Neodiprion lecontei: one gene and its partner. The protein of the gene in region 1 purifies or fractionates together with the protein of each later gene. This does not show direct contact. Links are inferred from orthologs where the notes say so. Each region holds a gene or a part of one and is shown on either strand. Other genes may lie near its edges.

The links. Proteins that work in one complex are often made in the same cells at the same time.
Region 2: the proteins of kinesin light chain (region 1) and JNK-interacting protein 1 purify together in Drosophila melanogaster (affinity purification with western blotting, with the first as the bait; 3 studies listed by BioGRID). This does not show direct contact. The link is inferred for Neodiprion lecontei from reciprocal best matches to the Drosophila melanogaster genes Klc and Aplip1.

The regions. Positions count from the first base shown.
Region 1 is NC_060263.1:21,592,122-21,603,264, reverse strand, and holds the start of kinesin light chain, read right to left. Parts: upstream 7,117-11,143; 5' UTR 6,765-7,116; coding exon 6,721-6,764; intron 5,373-6,720; exon of another isoform or gene 5,355-5,372; intron 4,411-5,354; coding exon 4,044-4,410; intron 3,622-4,043; coding exon 3,465-3,621; intron 3,245-3,464; coding exon 2,742-3,244; intron 2,508-2,741; coding exon 2,295-2,507; intron 940-2,294; coding exon 736-939; intron 1-735. UniProt on the Drosophila melanogaster protein: Kinesin is a microtubule-associated force-producing protein that may play a role in organelle transport. The light chain may function in coupling of cargo to the heavy chain or in the modulation of its ATPase activity.
Region 2 is NC_060261.1:43,605,352-43,616,068, reverse strand, and holds the start of JNK-interacting protein 1, read left to right. Parts: upstream 1-5,047; 5' UTR 5,048-5,112; coding exon 5,113-5,195; intron 5,196-6,433; coding exon 6,434-6,643; intron 6,644-6,828; coding exon 6,829-7,070; intron 7,071-7,777; coding exon 7,778-8,050; intron 8,051-8,174; coding exon 8,175-8,327; intron 8,328-8,388; coding exon 8,389-8,672; intron 8,673-8,831; coding exon 8,832-9,010; intron 9,011-9,101; coding exon 9,102-9,174; 3' UTR 9,175-10,717. Other genes in the region: tryptophan 5-hydroxylase 1, read right to left, coding at 140-353, 2,033-2,137, 2,219-2,317. UniProt on the Drosophila melanogaster protein: The JNK-interacting protein (JIP) group of scaffold proteins selectively mediates JNK signaling by aggregating specific components of the MAPK cascade to form a functional JNK signaling module.

The DNA of each region.
Region 1 (11,143 bases):
GAAACTGGTATGATTGACCCTTAGATTGATCTCGTTTTTTAATTATAATAAAGTAAATGATTGTCAACTTTGGTAGAAGTCATTGCATACGGGGTATTCCACGGGTGGATTCAATCGATTTGTAAACTTATTTTGATTTTCTATATTTATAGGTCTCAATACCTTGGGTTATTCTGTGGTACGGTTTTTTACATTCAAATTTTCATGTTGCGCGGTAACTGGTCTGCGACAGTGACCAAATTGCACACTTTGGAAACTTTGGAAGTGCAATAATACAAGTAATATATCAAACTCCAGTATGATCTGCAGTATTTACATGTTCAAACGAGTAAAAAACCCCTATTTACTTAGAGGGTATGCCAAGTCAACCAAGGCCATGGACAAATGGCGTTTAATAACATAATTCAATCAACGATTGATTTCTTGGGAACTACTCAAAACCAATGGGCCATATTATTTTTAAAAGCTTTTCCATCACTTTGTAATTCAAGCATGTTTTTGCACAAATTCATACTTGCCTTCTTGGATGTTTTTCGAATAAAACAAATTTCGTTTTTCATTTAGCAATTTTTTTCATAAATTAAAATACTATTTTGCGGAAGAATTCAGCTCTCAGAGGGTTAGCAGCACACAAAATGAAGAAATAACATATCATTTAACGTCACTTCTCACGTGGAATAACCCAAATTTGATCACGTAGCACTGACTAAATTCAATAAAATATGTGTAAATTACCTCTCTTCGTGACCTCAACGCACAGTCTTCAAGCGTTTCAGCAGCCTCATATTTTCCCTGTCGCCGGTAAAGTGCGCCTAAGTTTTTGAGTGTTGTAGTTACCGTAGGTGAATCGACTTTTGCTGCTTTATGCCAACCACCATATTCACCATATGGCGCGTTTTCCTTATTTCTATGTTTATTTTCTTCACGCTCTTCCGCTACCTGAAACAATATCAATAGTGTTTAGTATGTTTCATGCCCTTCCATTATACAATTTTTTTTGCGATTACACTTCTTAATGGACGCATTTTCAGAACTCACATTGCTCTTAATAATACATCATATTATTAACGTTAGTCTAATCTCGCTTCTGTCTTCTCCACAGCTTTATTTTCGTCTGATGTACTTGCACGCCTCTAGCATTACCTTCCTTGAATCAGTTTTTATCTTTCTATCTCTAGATCTTGTTTGTTCATTCCATCTATGCAACTTCTCATATGTTTTTTCTAAGCCTTCTCTGATCACTCTACATTCACAAGTGTAATACAATTTATCTGACCAGTTTAATTGCACCCTATGTCAGTAGAATTGATGTTGAGTGGAATATAAGTTTGCACCAAAGACGATTGGATTTACTGCGAGTTTGAGTACATCAAACGTTGAGCCCAATGTTTTCAGCATAATATTAAAAATTTCAAGTTGACTAAGGACCCTCGTTCCTAGGTTATTTCTGTACTTTACCAACTGTAGTCCTTGTAATCTATCTCTCATATTGGATCTCACTCTTAATCGACTTTTTCGGTGTGGCTGGACTTTTCTTCAGTTATATGTTTTTCTTTTTTCTCACCTTACTCCTGTCAACTAAGACTGCTGTCCAATTAAACGATACCATCATTTTTACTACTAGTCATGTTTCAATTTCTTATGACATATATTTTTTCTCAAGGATTTCTGGCATGGACACTGAGTGATAATGACATAGCGTACAACGCATCAAAACCTTTATAAAACTTAGTGAATCCAGGAAGTGAATACCACAGTGCGCATAGATACACGCATAAGACGTGTGAGCAGGGTGCAAGTAAACGTTTTCCCAACCACATTGATGAAAAGAGGCAAAAAGACAAAACCATAACGGAAAGCTGACTTCAAAATAACCAACATTTAAAACAGAAGTGGAGACTAGATCGAAGCATAAGCATGATACTCGAAGTACCAGCAAAACAAAAGAGATAGCAGGTGAGAGTGCGCAGGTGATAAATCGGTCAAGAGCTCGAAGAAATGATCAAGGAGCTGAGAAGGAAACAAGAAGCAAAAGGCAGGCAAGACAAGAGAAATAATATAGTGATCAGAGGCCCGGAAGTACTCTTAGAAGATACTGGGATTGAATTTAGTTGGTTGCCGGCCTGAATATAAGATAACGGTTTTATTTATGAAATCAGATTACTGTAAGTTATAACTTATTCAAAGAACACCTATATTTTTTAAAACTTAACACATATGAAATAATCATTTCTGTACGTGAAAAAGGATTGGAATTCATTTTAATAAGCGCATATGTACCCCTTTCAACACACCTGCCATATTGGTTTGTTGTCACCTTCAATTGCCCCAAATTCACGTTCATGAGCTCTTGTTAGGACCTGTTTGTAGAGAACCTCCGCCTCCTTATATTTTCCTTGTTTGAGGTAACAAGAGGCAAGATTATTTTTTGTCTTTGCAACGTTTGGATCGTCTGGCCCTAACTTTGATTCGTAAATTACTAAAGCACGTTGATAGTAGCGTTCAACCTGAAAGCAGATAAGAAATAAACTGTTACTTTGCAAATCTTGCAAGGAATTACATACAAAATTAAGTATGATAAAATCGTAAAAATAAATAATATTTATATATTCACTACCACTAAATTTTATTCGCGAAGTTTCGAGGGTTGAAAACTTAATACTTTGAAATCCATTTCCAAAAACTTCAGAAATTACAAGATATTTGGACACCAAATTGGCAATGCAATGAAAATAACATACCTCCTCATATTTTCCCTGGTTTTGACACAACAGCGCCAAATTATTCAACTGTTTTGCAACATCTGGATGCTCACGTCCAAGTACCTTTTCCCGAATCTCCAATGCACGCTTGCATAACGGCTCAGCTTCCTTATATTTTCCACGTTTACCATATAAAACAGCCAAGTTATTTAACGTTGCAGCAACAGCTGGGTGATTTTCACCCAAAGTTTTTTCTCTGATGGCTAAAGCATCATTAAGCAGATTTGCTGCCTCTTTGAACTTGTTTTGATCTCTGTAAACTAGGGCTAAAATATTTAGCATCGTCGCAACATCGGGGTGATCATGACCAGATGTTTTTTCAAGGTCTTCTAACGCCTGCTTGCACAGTGGTACTGCAACTTCGTAACGCCCTTGACTCGCATATTGGATAACAAGATTATGTAGAGTACGGAGACGTGCTGGTATTTCGTATCCAGCATTCACTTGTTGAGCGAACTGAGATGGTGGAGTTGGTGTCATGGCTGAAAAACAAGACAATGTCAAATTTAAAACACTGATTTCAGTCCGTACGGTCATAATGAAAGTCTGAATGATAGATGTATGAAATCAATGGGCAATCTACGAAAAAACTTTTGTAAGGCTTGCAAGAATCATTTCACAACTTGTTGATTAACGCAAATTATCAGATGATTCGAAGTTCTTTTAAGTGAATTGTGAATAACAAAGAGCAAAATAACTTACTTCGATCATCGTTATCATCATCCGGGAACAGATCAACAACTGGATCATCTTTCGGCCTATCCTTTGTATTTTCATCCTCAGCTGGTGGATCAGGATCAAATTGTCTTATGCTGGCCATAAAGTTCAGCTGCCTCTTCTCTACTTCTAGTTGTGCAACCTAAAACGAAAAGTTATGTTGCACTTTAGAGAATCAAATAGTGATGTTTTATAATAAACTCTACTTCAGAATGAGTTTTAAATTATTAACGTCAACTTTATACAACGTTGAAACCTAAATTACTATTTGGCAAGTCCAGAATAACTTTGAAAATGAATCTGTAAGCTATATAGATTTCAATGCTGTACGTAAAATGGAAAATCTTGGGAACTTTCTTGGTCACTTTTCATGTACCTTCATAAAGCAAAACCAGAAACACATAAATCCATGAATTTCACTCGTTTTTCATTCATCCAATTACCAACAACTCAATTATTTATTACACATTTTCAATAAACACATATTACTAGTTATCGGTATTACTAGATAAATAAACGAAAGGTGAAAATAATTTTTAAGTAACAAAACGGAAGGCTGCATACCGCTTGTTCACTGCCCTGCAACTTCTGTTGAGTTCCTGCAAGCTCGTCTCTGAGCCACGCATTTTCCTGACACAATCGTCTAACTTGCGTTCTGAGTTTCTGCTTCTCAGCTTCGACCATTTGTAAGTGACTAGCCAAGGCCATCATGACTTGTGCTTCTCCAAGACCCAATTCGATCATTTCAATATTCCTGGATATTAGACTGGCCTTTTCCCTCGCCGCTGGTGCCTCCTGAGACTGTAGACCCTGCAGGAGACCCCCGTGTTCACAGCGAAGAGCCTCCAGTCCCTGGGCCACCGTCCGAGCGCCGGCTACTATCTCCTCCTGTGTCATGGCTGTCATTCTGCCAATATGTTCGATTTTCTTACTGAAATTAAAACAAGCGGTATAAATTCAGTGAACCAATGTTCTAAAACGATCATTAATTATCGCTGATCGATGAAAAAAAAAGAATTACTTCACGTTTGATCTAAATAAAAAGTGGCTCAAGACTTTCAAACTCTATTTCTTTTTGAAGTTTCATGGTTATAGATGGAAAAATAAAATGTGGAGGCTCAAAATTTCGCCAATGATAGCTTTAAAAATACAATAATATTTAGAACAGATAATTTAAAAATATTTCAAGACAAGAAAAAAGCATATGATATTATTCCAAGAGTGAATGGTGTCTTAGGTTCCGGTGGAAATTGTACATTGCAATTCTCTGAATGACTGTGAAGAATATCAATTCGCTACGATTCGTCGATAGTTTAGATACATATACGAGAAAGGAAGAAATTAGTAAAGCATCAGTATCAAAAATTTTGAGAAATCTCTGACGACAAGATCAAATTTTATTCGTTCGTTTTGTAATTTGTGCATTATAAAAAAAAGAAGAAAAAAAATATTTACATATCACCTCTTCTTAAAAAATTATATTTCAGCCGAAACTTTTTCACAACTCAGTAGAATTATATAAGGTGATTCTTGAATATCTTTCTTCAGAAGAACGTTTATACTTATTGTAAAACAAAATACTATAATTATTTACAATTTTTCAAAGAAACAAATTTCACCAAGGTTTAACTAGAGAACTTCAGCGAGTCAACAAGTTTAACGAGATAATTAAATTTGAGGGGAAATTTTTTTATCTCCAATTACTTGATAACCAAGGACTGCGCGAGGGGTTAATAAAAACGTGTTCTTCACCCTGTGACCAATCCTCTATACAAGAGTGGTCATGAGCACCTCGAGACGGTACGTATTTAGTCCAAGAACCGGAATGAACTGACAATAGCACCTGCACAACGACGAAAGAAGAGGAGGACGTACGGAAACTTTATCCAGCGTTATACTCTAATTCAGGGGATTATTTTCACGGCGAAGAAGCCGGTAGCTACGTGACACCGAGAGTCTGCAGTAAAGACCAACTGGGACTTGAAATCAATAATAAGAGCTAACAACGACTGCGGTGGATGAGCCCCTAAAAATCTCGGTGGATATTACGCTAGCTGCGAGGATACGGGCTGCTACAAATGTATGGTTTTTTTTTTTATTTTTCATTATTATTTTTATTGTTAAAACGAGCCAAAACGCCCAGGGGAATCAATTATATCTGAAAACGAATCGGGATACGAACTTACCCCATGTCAGGGACGCGCGTGAACCGAAGTTTAATAAGTTAAAGCTCAATAATCTCGCGCACGCGTATCACGCCTCGATTCAATGCGACAGCGTACATATCGTGCATACGCGCAAGCAAATGTACGGATAGTAACATGTGAAAGGAGACAAACTACAGTAAAGTGTGTGTAAAGGCTTGTAAATCGGCGAAATTTTATGGGCCTGTTACACGTTGATAAGTTTTTTTTATTTTTTTATTTTTTTTTACAAAGGTACCAATACAGGTCACATAATGTAGAAGTCTTGCGGGGAGATCATGAGAAAATCAACCCTATCGTTGTCTGTTTTTCATAATTCATTAGGAGTTGATTGTGTGTACAGAGTGATGAGATTTATTCGCGATAGGAAGAGACGGAAAATGACTTGATTACTTAAACATCGCTTCTGTACGCCCTAGACACGTGATAAAGTAGTTTAATACAAAACCACAATATGTATAAGCCATCTAGCTTGAAAACGTTCTTGCACAAGGACACATGCGGCGAAATGTCTATTCCAACGAAATCTGTCTGTAATGTAATTCGCTACCGTACACGTTTGTTGTACATCGTGTTATTTTCGTTTATAAATGTGGTGTGAGATATATATCACATGTACTGGATCCGCAAACTGTCGAATTACTTAAAGTTCGCGAAGACAGTTGCGTGAACCTCGAATGATGAGATGACATATTTATTTGAGATTGCAATGAGTTTAATCAACGTGTATCTTGCAGATAAATTTACACGTTCTCCATTTCGGAGTTCATCATTAATAACATCCTATTATGTCCAAGAGCAGAAAAACAAAAAGAAGGTCTGTTAATAGAGTATTTATGCCGAATAATGATGCACGCATGTAAAAATCCAAAGTATTTGTTCACAGATTGAGTAATGATGGATATCTACACACAAAATGTATGTAAATATATCATATTACACTGCAGGTGAGTGGGGAAAAATTCAATCAATCGAAATTACGATAAACGAAGAGTATGAGAAATACAAAACATATTTCCAATAAACGTGTTACTCACATTCTATAAGCGTTCAGCGTTTTTGACATATCTGTTCTACCCATCAGTAATCAAAGAATTTGTATCTATTTTTTTTTCTTATTCTTTCAACCTACCTAATCGCTTATTATATACGAAACGTACTAAATATTCAATTAAATCAATTTATATTTCATTCTGTTTTTCTCTTTTCTTTCTTATTCTATGGACATTCGCGAGGGATATTGTCACAGTTGTCACACACTCGATATGTTATAACGTACGAGAGCACTTAAAATGGCAATCGGTCCTTTTGTTCTATTTGTAAAAAAATTTCAATTCATCACCCGAACACACGAAAGTACAAAAATATGCGAGAATAAATTTATGTCCGTTATATATGAGACGAAGAGAGCAGCCCCGTTCCTCGTCGCGTTTTCTTTACCACTGAGTGGCGCTTCTGCGTGTTCTACCCTTAAGCATAGCACGTATGTGTGTATGTACCTCCGTCCTCGAAATTGGGGGTGTTTCCACGCCTGCGCCGACCAATTTACGATAAATAACCACGGTCAAGGTAGAGAGAAGAGTTTCGTGTTTTTTTAACGCGACAATCATGTTTCATTGATAATGCGGTTTTTAAATAAATGCTCCAACGTATTTTACTTTCATTGAAAGCAAGTCGCCTTATACCATGGAAGAGTTTAAAGAAAAAGAATTTTCTAATTCAGTGTGATATCTATCAAATACAGGTCCGCGGAACATCGCATAACAAATTACTCGATTACTGTCTCAAAAAAATTTGCACATAATAATGTAGAAAATTGTGCTGAAATCACAAACGTCTCCATATTTTGATGCGCGAAAATGACGAGTAAAAATTAGCTTACGCGAATCAGATCAGGGCATATCCGTTTTATGCTGGCATACACGGAGAGAATATAAGAGCAGATATTACACAGAACTGCTGGAAAAGGGGGTGACATCAGGTTTTTTTTGTAAAATATACTTCGTAACGTGCAGAATTCACTCTAAAAACAGTGAAAACCATTGTGTACAGGGTAAAATCTCCTACATTTATAGTAAAAAATACAGTTGTAGCAGGTATAATAATATATAATTTGACGCGGTCTTTTTTTTTTGCAGTCTTAAGTGGAATCTAATTTTTTTCTCTCCCCGTGCATTCGGATTTGTTCTCATTTATCTGTCGCCCACGGATAGAATTTTCTTTGTTCGTCAATTTATTTTTCTAGACTTTCTCTATGTCTCTATTCATTTTGTATGGTTAGACAAGATGTACAATTGAGAATATGGAGGTCCGTAGAAGATCTTCGTAAAATTGTTGCGTCTGATGCTGATATTTTAGGGAGATCAGATTCAAGTTCAACTTCGCATTCAACAGCTATCCTCGGAATTTTTCATTTTGTCCCGAATTCTCGACTTTTGATATTGATTTTGTTAATTTTTCAAAAAAGTTGCGTACTTGGCGGTAAAGATTTTTATTTAAATATTTTTTCAGGCAGGGATATTGTTGCTTGTAATTATTTGAACTTGAATTTTCATTTTGGTGGTTTTTACATTGCAAAGTAAATTTTTATTCCTATAAGTTTCCACCTATACAGCTATGTGTTCACGCTGTGCGTACAGTCATTGCCCATGTAACCAGTGAACGACAACTGCAGACCTGCTCCTGCCGAGTGAGCGATGATTCATAGCATGACGACATGATATATCTTGGCCAACTTACGCAGCTTCCTTTCGTGAATGAAATTATTCCCTCGGCGATTATTAACGTTTTTGCGGAATGACGTCGGTGTGAATTTCAACTTGGTTTCTTTTTTATTTTTACAAAACAAAACAAAAAAAGAAAAAAACAATGTAGAAGTGACCCGCAAAATTTGCAAAAAAAAATATATACCACTTTTCTGTATTTGTTGTACAAGATGTTCTAATAAATCGGAAAGAAATACAGAGGGCAAATATTTTTTCACGTATTTGATGGTTGAAAGCAATGGCGGAAGTAGAGATACCTATTCGTTAAAATTACTTGAAAAAATCAGCCAAAGTAGCACAATACCGAAGGTTTATAGTTTTTTTGAGTCCGTTTCTTAGTTTTACGCAACTGACGTGAAATATATGTTCACATTTTCCGCAGAGCATCAGGCAGCTTCACGTCAATCTATCGTCGTGAAATTCGATAATGAGAAAAATATACCGAACACTAGACACAATGCGAGCTACCATGTTCGTGCAGGAAGTAGTGCGGAACTTTGAATGGATTAATTTTTTTACCCACATCACTGAATATCTCAACATTTCTCGTTACGAACGATAAATTTGATACAAATTTTAGTAAGTCAAGAAGAAGTGTAATACAATCTTAATATCCGTAGATTGTAATGGAAAGATAATTAAATCCGATGTGCCGACGTCGACGTAATCGCTTGTCAGATAAACGAACTCGCCCACGAGGTGTTAGAGAAATTGAATAACCTAGGCAGGTGCTTAATAACGTTATACTCACACCTCAAATGGTGTTGTAGCGTAAAACAGCAGGGCGGCGACCTTATACGACGCTATGGATATTCGTTAGGTAGGGTTCTGATCGTGTGTCGAATGAAATAAAATACAATCCCCCCGTTACCTGAATACCGCATAAGAATGATAACGGGGAAAATGTTTTTTTAAATATCTTTTCGTCAAGTCCGACATTCCGAAACTGCATCATCGTGGTCCACCTATCTCGCGTGTATATTCACGTTGAAAACAAAAACAATGGACGGGATAGAAAAAAATAAACACATGGTTTTTTTTCTCACGAAAGCTCAGCGGACAAATATCTAATTAATCTGACAATTTCTATACTGTAAATTAGAGTGCGAACGAATAATTCGTGATCCAATGGTCATGGTCAGTGATTTTTCGTCACGGTACCTCGGAGCCGGAGGAAATGGATTAGAGAATTAACTTCCGGTTGCACCTGTTCGTCTTGGAAGGCGTGGTTCGTGACGAGGAATGAATTATTTTTAGCTAAATTAGTGTAAAGAAAATGAAGCTTGGAGTAAAAAGGGAAAAATATACTCACTCTTGAGAACGGTCCATGCAGGAATCCCTAACGTGGACGGTCTTCAATGTACCATCCCACTGCTGTAAAAAGACATCTCTATCAATCTTATGGATTTCAAGGGACAGATTTATCCTTGAAGCGAGTTAAACGTCACAAAGATTCAAGGAACAAGTGAAAAATAACGTGCGGCTTTCACAAGATGGTAAATAAACTGGCAAGAAATTGTTCACCGAGTGGATTTATCGCAAGCTGATGACAGGCCAAAATGGCGAAGAGCGAAATGTATTAAAACAAACGCGAATTACTAGGTATTATTTACGATTGTTCACCAACTCACAATTAACTTCCCTCTAACACCGTTGGTATTTAAAATATTAACACGTTAAAGGTTATAGCCTCTCTTGTTCAAGTAGAACTTGACTTATTATCGCCTACTGATCGGAACCATCGGAACGAGCGAAAGCTGTCAAGTCGATCTAAAATTCCGACTAGCACGACTCCAGTTTCTGCGCCGGACCCGTGAACTAGCCACCGAACTATAATCAGAGACCATAGAAATAATATTAAGATAGAATGGGCGAGGTGCCGAAAAACCCGAAACGCGCATGAGAAAAGAAAGAGAATGTCTAGATTTTCATGGGCAGCAAAATACTTCCACAGTATTTTGCAGCCTAGTTCTTGGCCAATACAAATGCCAAGAAAATAGGTAATTCGTATTTAGCGCGCACCAGGTAGCGCTAGAGTCCGTTTTGTAGAGACTCCAGGTAGAGCTTTCCTGCTTTATTGCCATTCCTAGTGGTCAATAACTCTGCAATAAAATACTACCGTAGCATTTTGCTGCCCGTGAAAATCCAGCCAATCGCTGCTGATATCTCTTTGCCCTTGTCTCTTCTCGCCCGTCCATTTCACTGTTAGTGGTGTGCGGGGTGTGCGTCAATAAAGGACAGTTTACAATGTCCGTTACCGTAACCGTAACCGCTGCGTTAGGGAGGTGAAGGATATAATAGGGATTATAGGGAACCCGTACTATGATTTCCAACGCCAACTGATAACGCTTTCGTAGAATCCGTTTTATTGTTAGTAGAATCTAGCCAAATTTTAACTTCATACTTAAGCGTTTCTACGGTCAGCCATTCAGATTGTAGATACTTACGACATAGCAATGGTCGAACGACGTTATGCACCGGTCTGCTTACTGATATACTTCGAATTCTCACACATAGGTGGCGATTCAACGGTTTTTTTCTTGTAACTATCTCACAAGTGCACAAAACTATAATCTATAGACTTATAAAAGATAGACTGAGCGCGCATATGAGCCGCTTGAAGCAAACATTTAAAGGACAGAAATATGCCGGGAGTAGTACTCCTTGCTCTCTCTGATGATATTTGTGGCGGGGA
Region 2 (10,717 bases), on another chromosome or scaffold:
TCCCGAAGGGAAAATGAAAGTAGTAATCAGAGTCGTGAATCAATGCCAAATATGGGGATCAATACGCGATCAATTATCAAATTCTAACACGAAAAGTGAGACAGGGAAGGTTACATCGACGCCATGAGAATCGACTGACCGAAGCTCGGGGCAGCCGACAAGGTTGGCGGCTGAGGAATATTTCCTGTTTGTTCGTATTGGGCCAGATTTATAGCGGCCACCTCCCGACTCAACATCCTCATGAGCTGCTCCATCCTTTTTCCGTCGCACTCGACGTCGACCAGAATTTCGTACTCGGGACCGCGTTGCGCCGATCGACGGGACTCAATGTGGACAACGTTGACGCCTAGGTCCTGAACAGAAGTGAATGTGAATTTCAAACGGAATCCAATCTACGATCTAACGGCCCGGCCGGTCTGTTTTAATTGGAGCCTTGCGCAAAACGGTACCATTTCGTAATACCCGGTTTGGCGGTTCTTTCTGACAAACGAACAACCTCAGTCCGCGATCGCGCGATACAGATATTTCACGCATGTCGCACGTTAACCTAGGAATAAAATGCGCTGTGCGTTGAGCATCGAGTGTAGAAACCATTTGCTGTCTTGTTCTACTCGGGTTTTCAAGGAGAACGGCTCGAAACCTCCGGACTGACGGACACGTTATTTCTAGGCGGTCAAGGGCGGCATGCGTTCATTTTAGTCACTGAACATCAAGATAGGGATAGATGTTCTTTTTTCCTTCTTTTTTTTTTTTGGCTAAGGTCTTTCGTTACTCGTTTAATGAAAGTGGTCAATGGAATTTGCGGAGTCACGAGTTCTTGTCCCAATACCGAAGCAGCGACAAATATGCAATAGTTATATCAAAGGCTGCACTTATAAGTACAAGCATCAAGACTAATTTGGATAGAAAAAAAAAAAAAAAAAATGGCTCGTACCTAATGTTATAAAAGTCAGTTAACACTTCATTTCTTAATATTGACGTACTCTCAAGGATTTTCATTGAAATTATTATTACTTTTAGCCCGAGTCGGATTAGCGCAAGAACGAATTCATGAAAAAAAAGCTTTTGGTTCGTAATCTCGAAATTGTGCATCCGGCTCGCATGTGTTATCTGAATTTCACCTCAGTTTAAAAGATGTTGTTCCGAGATATCATGCTCGCAGCGTGTATCTTAATTTCTGCAATGCCGAACGGAGTTGAACGCGTATATTCACTAGAATGTACACGCGTATGTTGAATTACGAGATTTCCGATGTAAAAATAGAATTTTTATCACAACTCGTTACGGCCCCGCTGTTAACGGTGTTCCAAACGTAGGGTAATGTTAAATGTGCCAAATCGAATAGAGAAATAATACTCGACTGATAGAAATCTATGGCAGAAACCAGTTAACCACATCCCACTATGACATTTGCGCAAGTGATATCTCTCGACTCTGCACTCAGACTTTTGGTTAATTAATGGGGTGAAAAGTGAAACACCGGTGAATTTGGTTTTCGTCGACTTTACACGCGATACTTGATAGCATTCCATTTTCACTTCCCATGCTACAAAGCGTCGGAAATTAGCCTAATACCGTGAGTAGAATAAAGAAACTAGTGTATGTTACCGTCTCCGATGCACAAGGACGCCTTTATTGCACATGATCTTGTTGTTATTTCCGTGCAGCAAGACACGTGTCGTCGAGTGAGTAACTTGAAATGTTGCTCAAGACTGGACCGTTATGTCACGAGCAGTGAGCGTGAGTGTCGTTTCACGCAATCCGAAGAACTGTTCCGACGCAACGATTTTCCCGCGCTCCTACCGGTCACCTATCGTTTCTTTAAAAGGTGGGACTGGTTCCCAGAGGGGGAAATTATCATATGGAATCACTCTACTCCTGCTTCTCCTCCGTCTCCACTTGCCTATCCTCCAATCGAATAAAGTTGGTTTCGCTGCCGAGATTCGACGTGTTCAAGAAGAAAGAATCTAGGATCCTTAATTGTTCGGCTGCGGTATACGTACTTGATTCGATCAGCGGGCAAGCAGCTTACCTGGAAAACTTGCAACGCTCGAGCTAAGCCTCCAACTTGATTCTTCAGTGAGAAGATTACCGAATTTTTATTCTCCTCACTTGCGTCCCGCTCAGTCATCGGGACCTGGACACGTATAATCGGATCAGAAGATCGTTCATTTCTGAGGATCAACGGTCGCCTTCGTCACCGATTTCATGTACTCACGTCTGGAACCTTGTGCATCGGGCTTCCCTCTTTGATGGCCCACTCTTGGCCTCTTCTGTAGAGCCACATGCCCAAAAGACCTTTTCCAGAACCGCTCATAACTGTTGCGTATTTACGTAGGGATTTTATTTGAAATCCGCAGCCGCCGCAAGGCTCAGGAAAGAAAAATTTCACGTGTTCTTAATCGAAGATTTTCGATTTTACTTGGATAAACACGTCTCGGTAAAGAACGCAACGCAGGTTCAACCTCACTCTTGGATGATGCTTCTATCTCTCTTGCGGAAGGACCGACAGTGTTCACCCTGCAGCCGATTCCGGTCTTCTTAAGCTTTTCACCCCTCCGCCGTGGCGTCCTCGCTCCCTGTCTTCGTCCAACATCGGCTCCCGATTGGTCCCTGAGCAAGGGGATGACGGGCAACTATTGGCAGAGACGGTTTTCTATAGGAGTACGGGGATTATGGGGGTGGTTCGTTCTTGCTCCTGAGGACGCTATCCTCCCTCTTTCCCGGTCCTTCCGGCAAACTTGCGGCGAGACCCTGTATAATCTCTGACGTCCTTGAATTCTGACCTCTATCCTCACCTCTTGAGAATATTCACGACGAATTACGGAAACAGTTGAAACAATGAGAAGTGTAACTTTGATTGTTGGAGAAATAATCGATTGTTAAAAATTAGCAGTATGTCGAGTTTGTATTATCGAGCAGCTTTAATTAATTTCGAACACAGGTACTAGAAAATCTGTTAAATTTAACCGAGTTCAGACAGATTATCTGTTCGTTTGCTGCAGAAGACTTCTTCATAAAATGCACGACCAAGTTACGTCAATTGGTTTACAAATGAGTTACTAATTGGATTCGTCGTGTACGGGACCATTGTTGATGCACATCTGGCATCGCTTATAAACCGAGCAGTATCATAACGCTCCAAGATAGTATTTAATTTCGCAGACACGGACCGTTACACACTCACTCTTTTGTCCGTGAAAACGTGAACTTTCGTAACTCCAGAGCAGCAGTCCGGATCGAACCAGACGAACAATTAATCATTGCACATAACATGTCCACGGACGAATAATGTAGACGACGGAACGATTATCCTCTGATCGGCAAGAAATATACCACGTATCCTTCTGCTGTCACGATGTTGCGTACGTTACGCAGACTTGACTTATGTATTCGACGGGAGTACGTCGTAATTTGTCGAGAAAAGAAAAAAAAAAAAGAAAATGCATCAGACGGTACGACACTGTGCTCTAAAATTGCGAGATTGGTCTTCTGGATGAATGTGTGTTTAGTATGAGAAAATGCTGGGGAACGAGAGTAGGAGAACGGAAAGCAAATGAGAAAAGGAGAGACAATGCTTAACAAAAGCCCGAACCCACTTCTCTACCCTAGCGAGTCCTATCGGTTCTCACCGCTTCTCCACAAAGCAGATACAGCACATTATCCAGCCAGCCCATCACTTACCACTATCAGCTACTATCCAGAGGCAGTCGAGGTGGCCGAGTTGTACCGGGTGTTTCGCTTGGTTTTGCAATAGAAAAATAACGATCTTACAGACCTACCTTGCTGCTAGAACGCACTTCATCCATGTGGTGCATCGAAAGGAACGGTGACGTAAATACATGCCGATTAAAAATGGTCAGCAGGGCACAAGCGTCATAGACGAAGTTCGCAAGCGACATCCAGTGGCCTGATTATCGTGGGATTTGAGGTGACAGACGCCTGTACCAGACTTTGGCTCACCCGTGGTCTGGGGTGTGGGCGATAGTCGCAGGCTACACTGCGTATATCTCTGGAAGTGTCTGTTTCACCTTGCTTCAATTACTTACGGCCCGCATCCATCGGGGAGCGTCTCATTCGCTGAGCGAACGGCAAGACCGGGTCCAGATGAATGGCGATGCTCGGACCGTCTGCCGGCATCGGAGATCGGTTTACTGCTTCTGCCCACTTCGTCGAGTGTTATGTTAAGGGTGGCCCAGTACCGGCCCTGTGGTTATCACTCGATGTCGGTAGCTGGAAACTCTGAGATATGACTACATGTACTTCGATAAGCATGATGAATCGGCATAAATTTTTATACGATAAAGAAAATTGCGTGAAGTCTTTTCAGGCTCGTTGTAACAGGTAGACGGAGGTCGTACGCGATTCGGTACAAGGTTTCTCTCAGGCAATATAGTACTCGTTGAGAGCGGGGAGTTTTATTCATGGAACGAAAGTGGAGAGGAGTCTCCTGGTTATTTAAAGAGAGCTTCGATTCGAACTAGCGTTTGCAAAGCCGGTGGGAGGCAAATGGTTAGGCGCAAGATGATGGGCATTCGGTGTTGGCAAACACTAGGATCCTTTCAACGACGTTCCTCGGCACGAATGATGGGACGGAGGTATGCTGAAGAAACGAAGGCGGAAGCCAGCCGAAAATTAAAAAGCGTACGAAAGGTGAGACCACTCAATTTCGAGGTGCTTCATTGGCCGAATTAGGGGAAGGACCTTGTCAAACCGCATTAGTTGTACAAGGTAGTCATCGTCCAACGCGTCAACATCGGTATCCGTATTGTAGGTACTTCTCACGATCGTTAACAACAGCGGTTTAGCCAAATTTTCTCTAGGTATAATCAATGCCACCAGTGTCCGAACTCTTGCAATTGTTTGCTTGGATTTGATGCAAGTGGTTCACGGGTGACGGGACGGCGTTTAGGCGCTGCATCACACGAGTAGAAGTTTCGTATTTCGTTCATCCCTCTGCGCCCCCATATTCGTTTTTCATCTCGAGGCTCGCTCGAGGGGTGCGCGCGTCACGCTGCGTCCAGGAATCAATAGGTTTGCGACGCGTGCGCCGCCTTCGTCCGGCCCGGTCGCCTCCGCCGTCGGCCGCCTCCACGGACCGACCTTTCAAGAATGGCTGATTCAGAGTTTGAAGAATTCCGGCATTACTTTGAGAGACTGCCTCAACATCTCAAGGCACCGATATCAAATTACACGTGAGTAATTTTATCAGTTATCTTTCCATCCGTGGTGGATTTTACTGTGGAGGAAAACACTTGACACGTTGAAGCCGCTCGCGTTGATGAAGAAGCACCCTGACATGCGACATCGTTTTCACTATCCTTGTCAACGTTAATGGGTCTATAGGACACGGTGATATTTATAAATAACGTCACAATCATCATCGATCAATGGTTTGTTGGGGCGATCCACGGTTGTCAATAAACACGGGGTGCAATTTACAGCATGAGTAAAAAATTCGTCGATGCAGCGTAAATAATGACAGGGAAAATTGTTCTAATAGAAGAAATATAACTACATCATCCTGGTCGACAAAATCTTTCTGACCATTTGGTACAACTTGTGGTTTGCCGAGCCTTAGTGAACTGCAGTTTACGAGTATGCATACATATTGTATACAAATGGATTCTCAGACATTTCTCATGGCAACTGTCAAATTTCGTATTCCTTGTATTCTGCCAGCCTTATTTCAACTCAAATTTCATCCAATAACGTCTTTTTAATGTTCCGCAACCCAGGTAGAGGGGGTGAATCAAGAGATGTGGTTTCAATGTACTTCAGGAGTTTCAATCGATACCCGAAACACTGTAATTGAAACCAAAACTATTGACATGTCATGCAGGAGAGGGGGGGGGGGGGGGGGGGGGGCAGGTAAAAATCACCAGCCGTGATATTGAAGCGGAATGTTCATGGTCGGTAAATTATATGAACCATAAACGAGCCGTCCAAGATCATTAGTATATAAAAAATATTTTAGGAGCGTATTACAAATATCGTTGAAACCCGATGTGCTCCCAGACTTAGGGTTTCAGTTTACCACAAGAGCATGGTGGTCAGAAACTTCATCTGCGCATTGGAAAAACGGAGTAAGTGTAGACGTTTCGTGCGCTCTAGTAAAAATCAATGGCTGGCTATGTGATCAAACGTTTATAAACTATTCTTCGACGAGGTCTGGTACATACATGTCCTTCCGTACGGTATTCAAACTTTGGGGTCGGCGTGGTGAATTTTTTTTGGTAATCAATAGCATCTTAGGGAAGAAAACGTACGCGCTTCGACAGCTTCTCTTTCAACAAGCACTTTCAGACCAAAGACCGATGAATCGAAGGAGAGAGCTTACTAATCTGGAATCTAGTATTAAGCACATGACGTGAGGTAGAAGAGTGAAATTTATGAATGAGCGTTACTTGTTTCGTCTTTCATCTCGCGACAGACTGGTCCACGATGTCATGGTCGACGATTCACCGACGTCCTCGCAGGGCAGCGACGGAGACGTCGGTCAGAATGGTGCAGCCGTGGACTCGGAGGACGACGAGGTTGTCGCGCTTATTCATCGTCACGGAAACCACAGCGAGCAGAGCTCAGGAGACGACGACGAAGAGCTAGACCACCACTGTTCCATCGTAGCTGACAGCGACTTTAGGTATGGCAAGTGCACTTTCCTCGCATCTCATCTTTGCGTGGGTTCTCGCTCATACGAACGGCAGGCGAGTCCGAACCCGCGTAGCTATGAGTCTGTTTATAAGATCGACTCTCGATGGGAGGTTAGAAGATTTCAATGGCATGTGAGTAGACTAGTGACAAGGACACTGCGTTGGGTGACATTAGCTTGTTCGGTGGACTGAGCAGTAGGAGGCGATCGGTTTCCGGGGCTGGAGGAGGACAAGGAAGATCGGAAGGTGGAGGCTGCGGCAGGGAGAGTGTAATCAGTGACGTAGGTGACTCCTGCTCGAGCCTCAGCTCCTGGCCCACTCCGGAACACGTGCCGTCAAATCGTAGCGGAAGCGGGTGCACCGCAAGCGGCGAACGCAGGCGGAGACGACTTCCGGAGATTCCAAAGACGAAAAAATGTAAGCATTGCCAGTTCTACGTAATTCACATCGGTTGACACGTGACGACGAGTAAACGTGCTCACGGTGTATTGTTGAAATTTGTATTTCCATCGGTTCTCCCGAGCAAAGAAAAAGTAACGAGACTCGGGAGATTATGCCGATGTTGTCGTCGTAACTTGATCTCCGTCGATCGCCATTTGCGTGAAACATTAGCAGCCTCTGATCACAAATCATGTGTGACGAAAGGAAATAGAGGCTTTTGCTGTATGAGGTTGACATAATTAACCGCAAAATAGACAAGCGTACAGAAAATAACCGCCAGAAAGAGAGCAAAAGGAAACAAAAAGAAAACTGCTGTATGTAACGAATCAGTTCTAGTCTCGATCTTCGGAGAATTCAGTCGTTACTTACCTTTATTTCTTAGATTATTCGAAATAAACTCGGTGGAAAATAATAGTCGTACTCACCGAGTGCTACAAAGACACGGTTTATGAAAAGAGAATCTTCTGCAATTCCAATCATCATGCATTACTCTTGTGTCTACAACAGGGGTGAGTTTCACAGTCGTAAAAGCTCTGTGTTTCCTTGAAAATTGATTGGATCGTGAAAACATAACGGTATACATTAAGAAAATCGTTAGTTTGAAGTGAAAAGAAATATCATGCTCGTAAATGTGGAACCTGGAGAATTTCCTTGAGTTATGAACGTATATAACTAATTGACAGCCGTGTCGATGTGCCATTCGTCTCTTCACTCGTCTCCGTCGCTCGCCGACGAGCTGGGGGCGGCAACGTCAACGGCGGGACGGCCGCATCTCGTTCTGAGGAAGTATCATCCGCGTCTCCGTCATGAGGATAGTTCCCCGGACAGCGAGAGAATGACGACGGACAGTGGCCACTCCACCGCTCATTCCCCAGACAACGGGCCCAAGAGTGTGTCTCCAATTCCGTGCAGCACCGTACAGAATACGAACTCAGTCTCGCCGAGCAGCACGCCAGGTGAACGCAGAAAAAAAAAAAGCAGAAAATAAGTAGCAGAATTAGTAAAGCTTCGATTAGTATCCAAATCTACGGTGGTTGTAAAAACAATACCTTATTCGTATTGAAAATTTGCTCCCTCCAGGTAGCGGTGGAGTTCCTTTCACGCAGCTAGAACTACTGGAGGCGACTCATCGCGGGCTGCACAAGTTTGTGCCGCGACATCACGACGAAATCGACTTAGAGATCGGGGACCCGATATACGTGCAGAAGGAGGCTGACGATCTTTGGTGCGAAGGTATGAAACTCCGGCGGCAGAATTGTCTTCGATAAGCAGAGTGAGCCTCTTCTCGTTTCAGGTGTGAACCTGAGGACTGGCAGACAAGGTATCTTCCCTTCGGCTTACGCGGTGGACATGGACTACAGCGACTTCGATCCTTCGGCTCCGAAGGTGAAACGGGAACGATACCTACTGGGATACCTCGGATCGGTGGAGACTCTTGCTCACAAAGGAACGGGCGTCGTCTGCCAAGCCGTTCGCAGAATCGTCGGTGCCCCGAGTCAGGAATCGCCCGCGTCTCAGAGTTGCATTCTAGAAGTGTCTGACCAGGGTTTGCGGATGGTCGACCGGAGCAAACCGCAGGTAATGGCAGGGGAGTATTTTTCAACGATTTTCGAAAGCCACCGTCTTCGACGGAGAAGTTTTCGTTTCACGAAAGAAGAACCACAGCTCTATAGCCCTTCGGTCCTAATTAGAACTCTCACGAACAATATGTCTCGTTTTTTTCTGTGGTCCCTGCAGAAAAATCGGGGCCCTTGCCACGACTACTTCTACTCGCTGAAGAACGTCTCGTTTTGCGCTTTTCATCCACGGGATCATCGCTATCTCGGATTCATAACGAAACACCCAACGCTCCAGAGGTTCGCCTGTCACGTATTTATTGGCCAAGAGTCGACGCGACCTGTTGCCGAAGCAGTTGGGTAAATAAAAACTATATTGATATATTGCGTATGTTGCATGGTTTCTGCTTACGTAACGAGGAACGTGGATGTCTTGCGTCTTCTGTTGCAGGAGAGCCTTTCACCGGTTCTACACGAAATTCATCGAGACTGCTTTCCCCATAGAAGACATCTACATAGAGTAATGAATTGCTGAAATATAAGTTGCTGTTGACGCTGACGATCTCATTCCCTTGTAAATACCACCCCTTAGCTGATTTAGCCTTATATATACTAAGTCTAAATCAAATGCCCAATATAAACAATTACGATAATAAAGAATCATTATTCGCATGGTAAAAAAACTGCGACGTGTTCAGCCTTTGCAGAAAATATTTCGCGCCGGTTCGCCTAGATACAAGAAAATACGTACGGTAACGTTAATTTTTCTTTCTGTAGCGGCTGTACACCCTCAGCGATTAAATTAGTTTTTCGTGGTATATCGTTTTCGCACGACGAAATGTATTATTCGAAGAGATTGAAAACTTTGAGAAAAATTGTTTTTAATATGTACTAAACGTCGCGCATTTATACATAGATATAATACAGTGACGATTGGGCGTTCGATTTTCACAATTGGTGTACTGATGGACTGTTGAGAACTCGCAAGGTGAGCCTTTCGATCAATTGCAAATTCTTACCAGAGATGATATTAATTATAATAATGAAAAAAAGCCTTAACATGACCACGGACGTGTGAAGTACGCAAGTGATGAGTTACACATACTTCAAATACCGATCCTTTCTGTGTCTTTTCAATGAGCTGCAAAATTTTTGAAACACTGACTCTGATTTCATTCTATCAATTAAGATAAAGTAACCACTGTATTACTAATACTGTATAACGTGTATAAGACAGTGAATAATGTCAATTTGGAAATGAACTGATGAGGGGAGGACACGCACCCGGGATGGCTGGTTTCTTTGAAATTTGAACCGGTCAAATCAGATTAAATCTCGCTAGATCCGTATTTTTTTCCGAACAATGCGCGGTAGTTGCAAAAAAAATCATGTGGATCTAATCTGATCTAATGACAAAAAATCGTTCACTAGCTTTTTGACAGCTGTGAATACTAGTTACAGTACCTACATTCCAAATGAATTACTTTCTTCCGACAGAAGACTTGCATTTCATGAAATGAATATTGTGAAAAAACATGTTACAACAGCAATCTTTGTCAAACTGAATACAAGAATGAAATAAAGTAAATACCCTGCAATAATCTTGGGGAAATTGGGTTTTAGCGAAATTGTCTGGATTCTGGATACGTTGTAGATCTCCGTGAGCACGACCCTCTGCTGTGAATAGTTCGGACGCTAAAAACCACCGTTGACGTCCCATGGAGACTTTTTTTCAGACTGCCAATATCTACAACTTATCAAAAATCCAGACGATTTCAATCAAAAACCGAATTACCATAAGATTATTGCGGGGTTCTTTCTTTATGTGACAACAACAAATGTTACCTACGCTTTATAAAATCATTTGTAACTTCGTCCTGATCCCATTTTCAGCAACTTTCAAAAATATTCGGATTCTCGTGCATAAACTGCAAACTTTCAGATAAACATGGTAAATTTCAAATCAAAGTTGATAACGATAAAATAATAACGAATATCTATGGAAAAGAGCGTTCCAGAGGATTTACTCTAATTGTAAAACAGATTTTACGGTCAGGAAAATTAGTT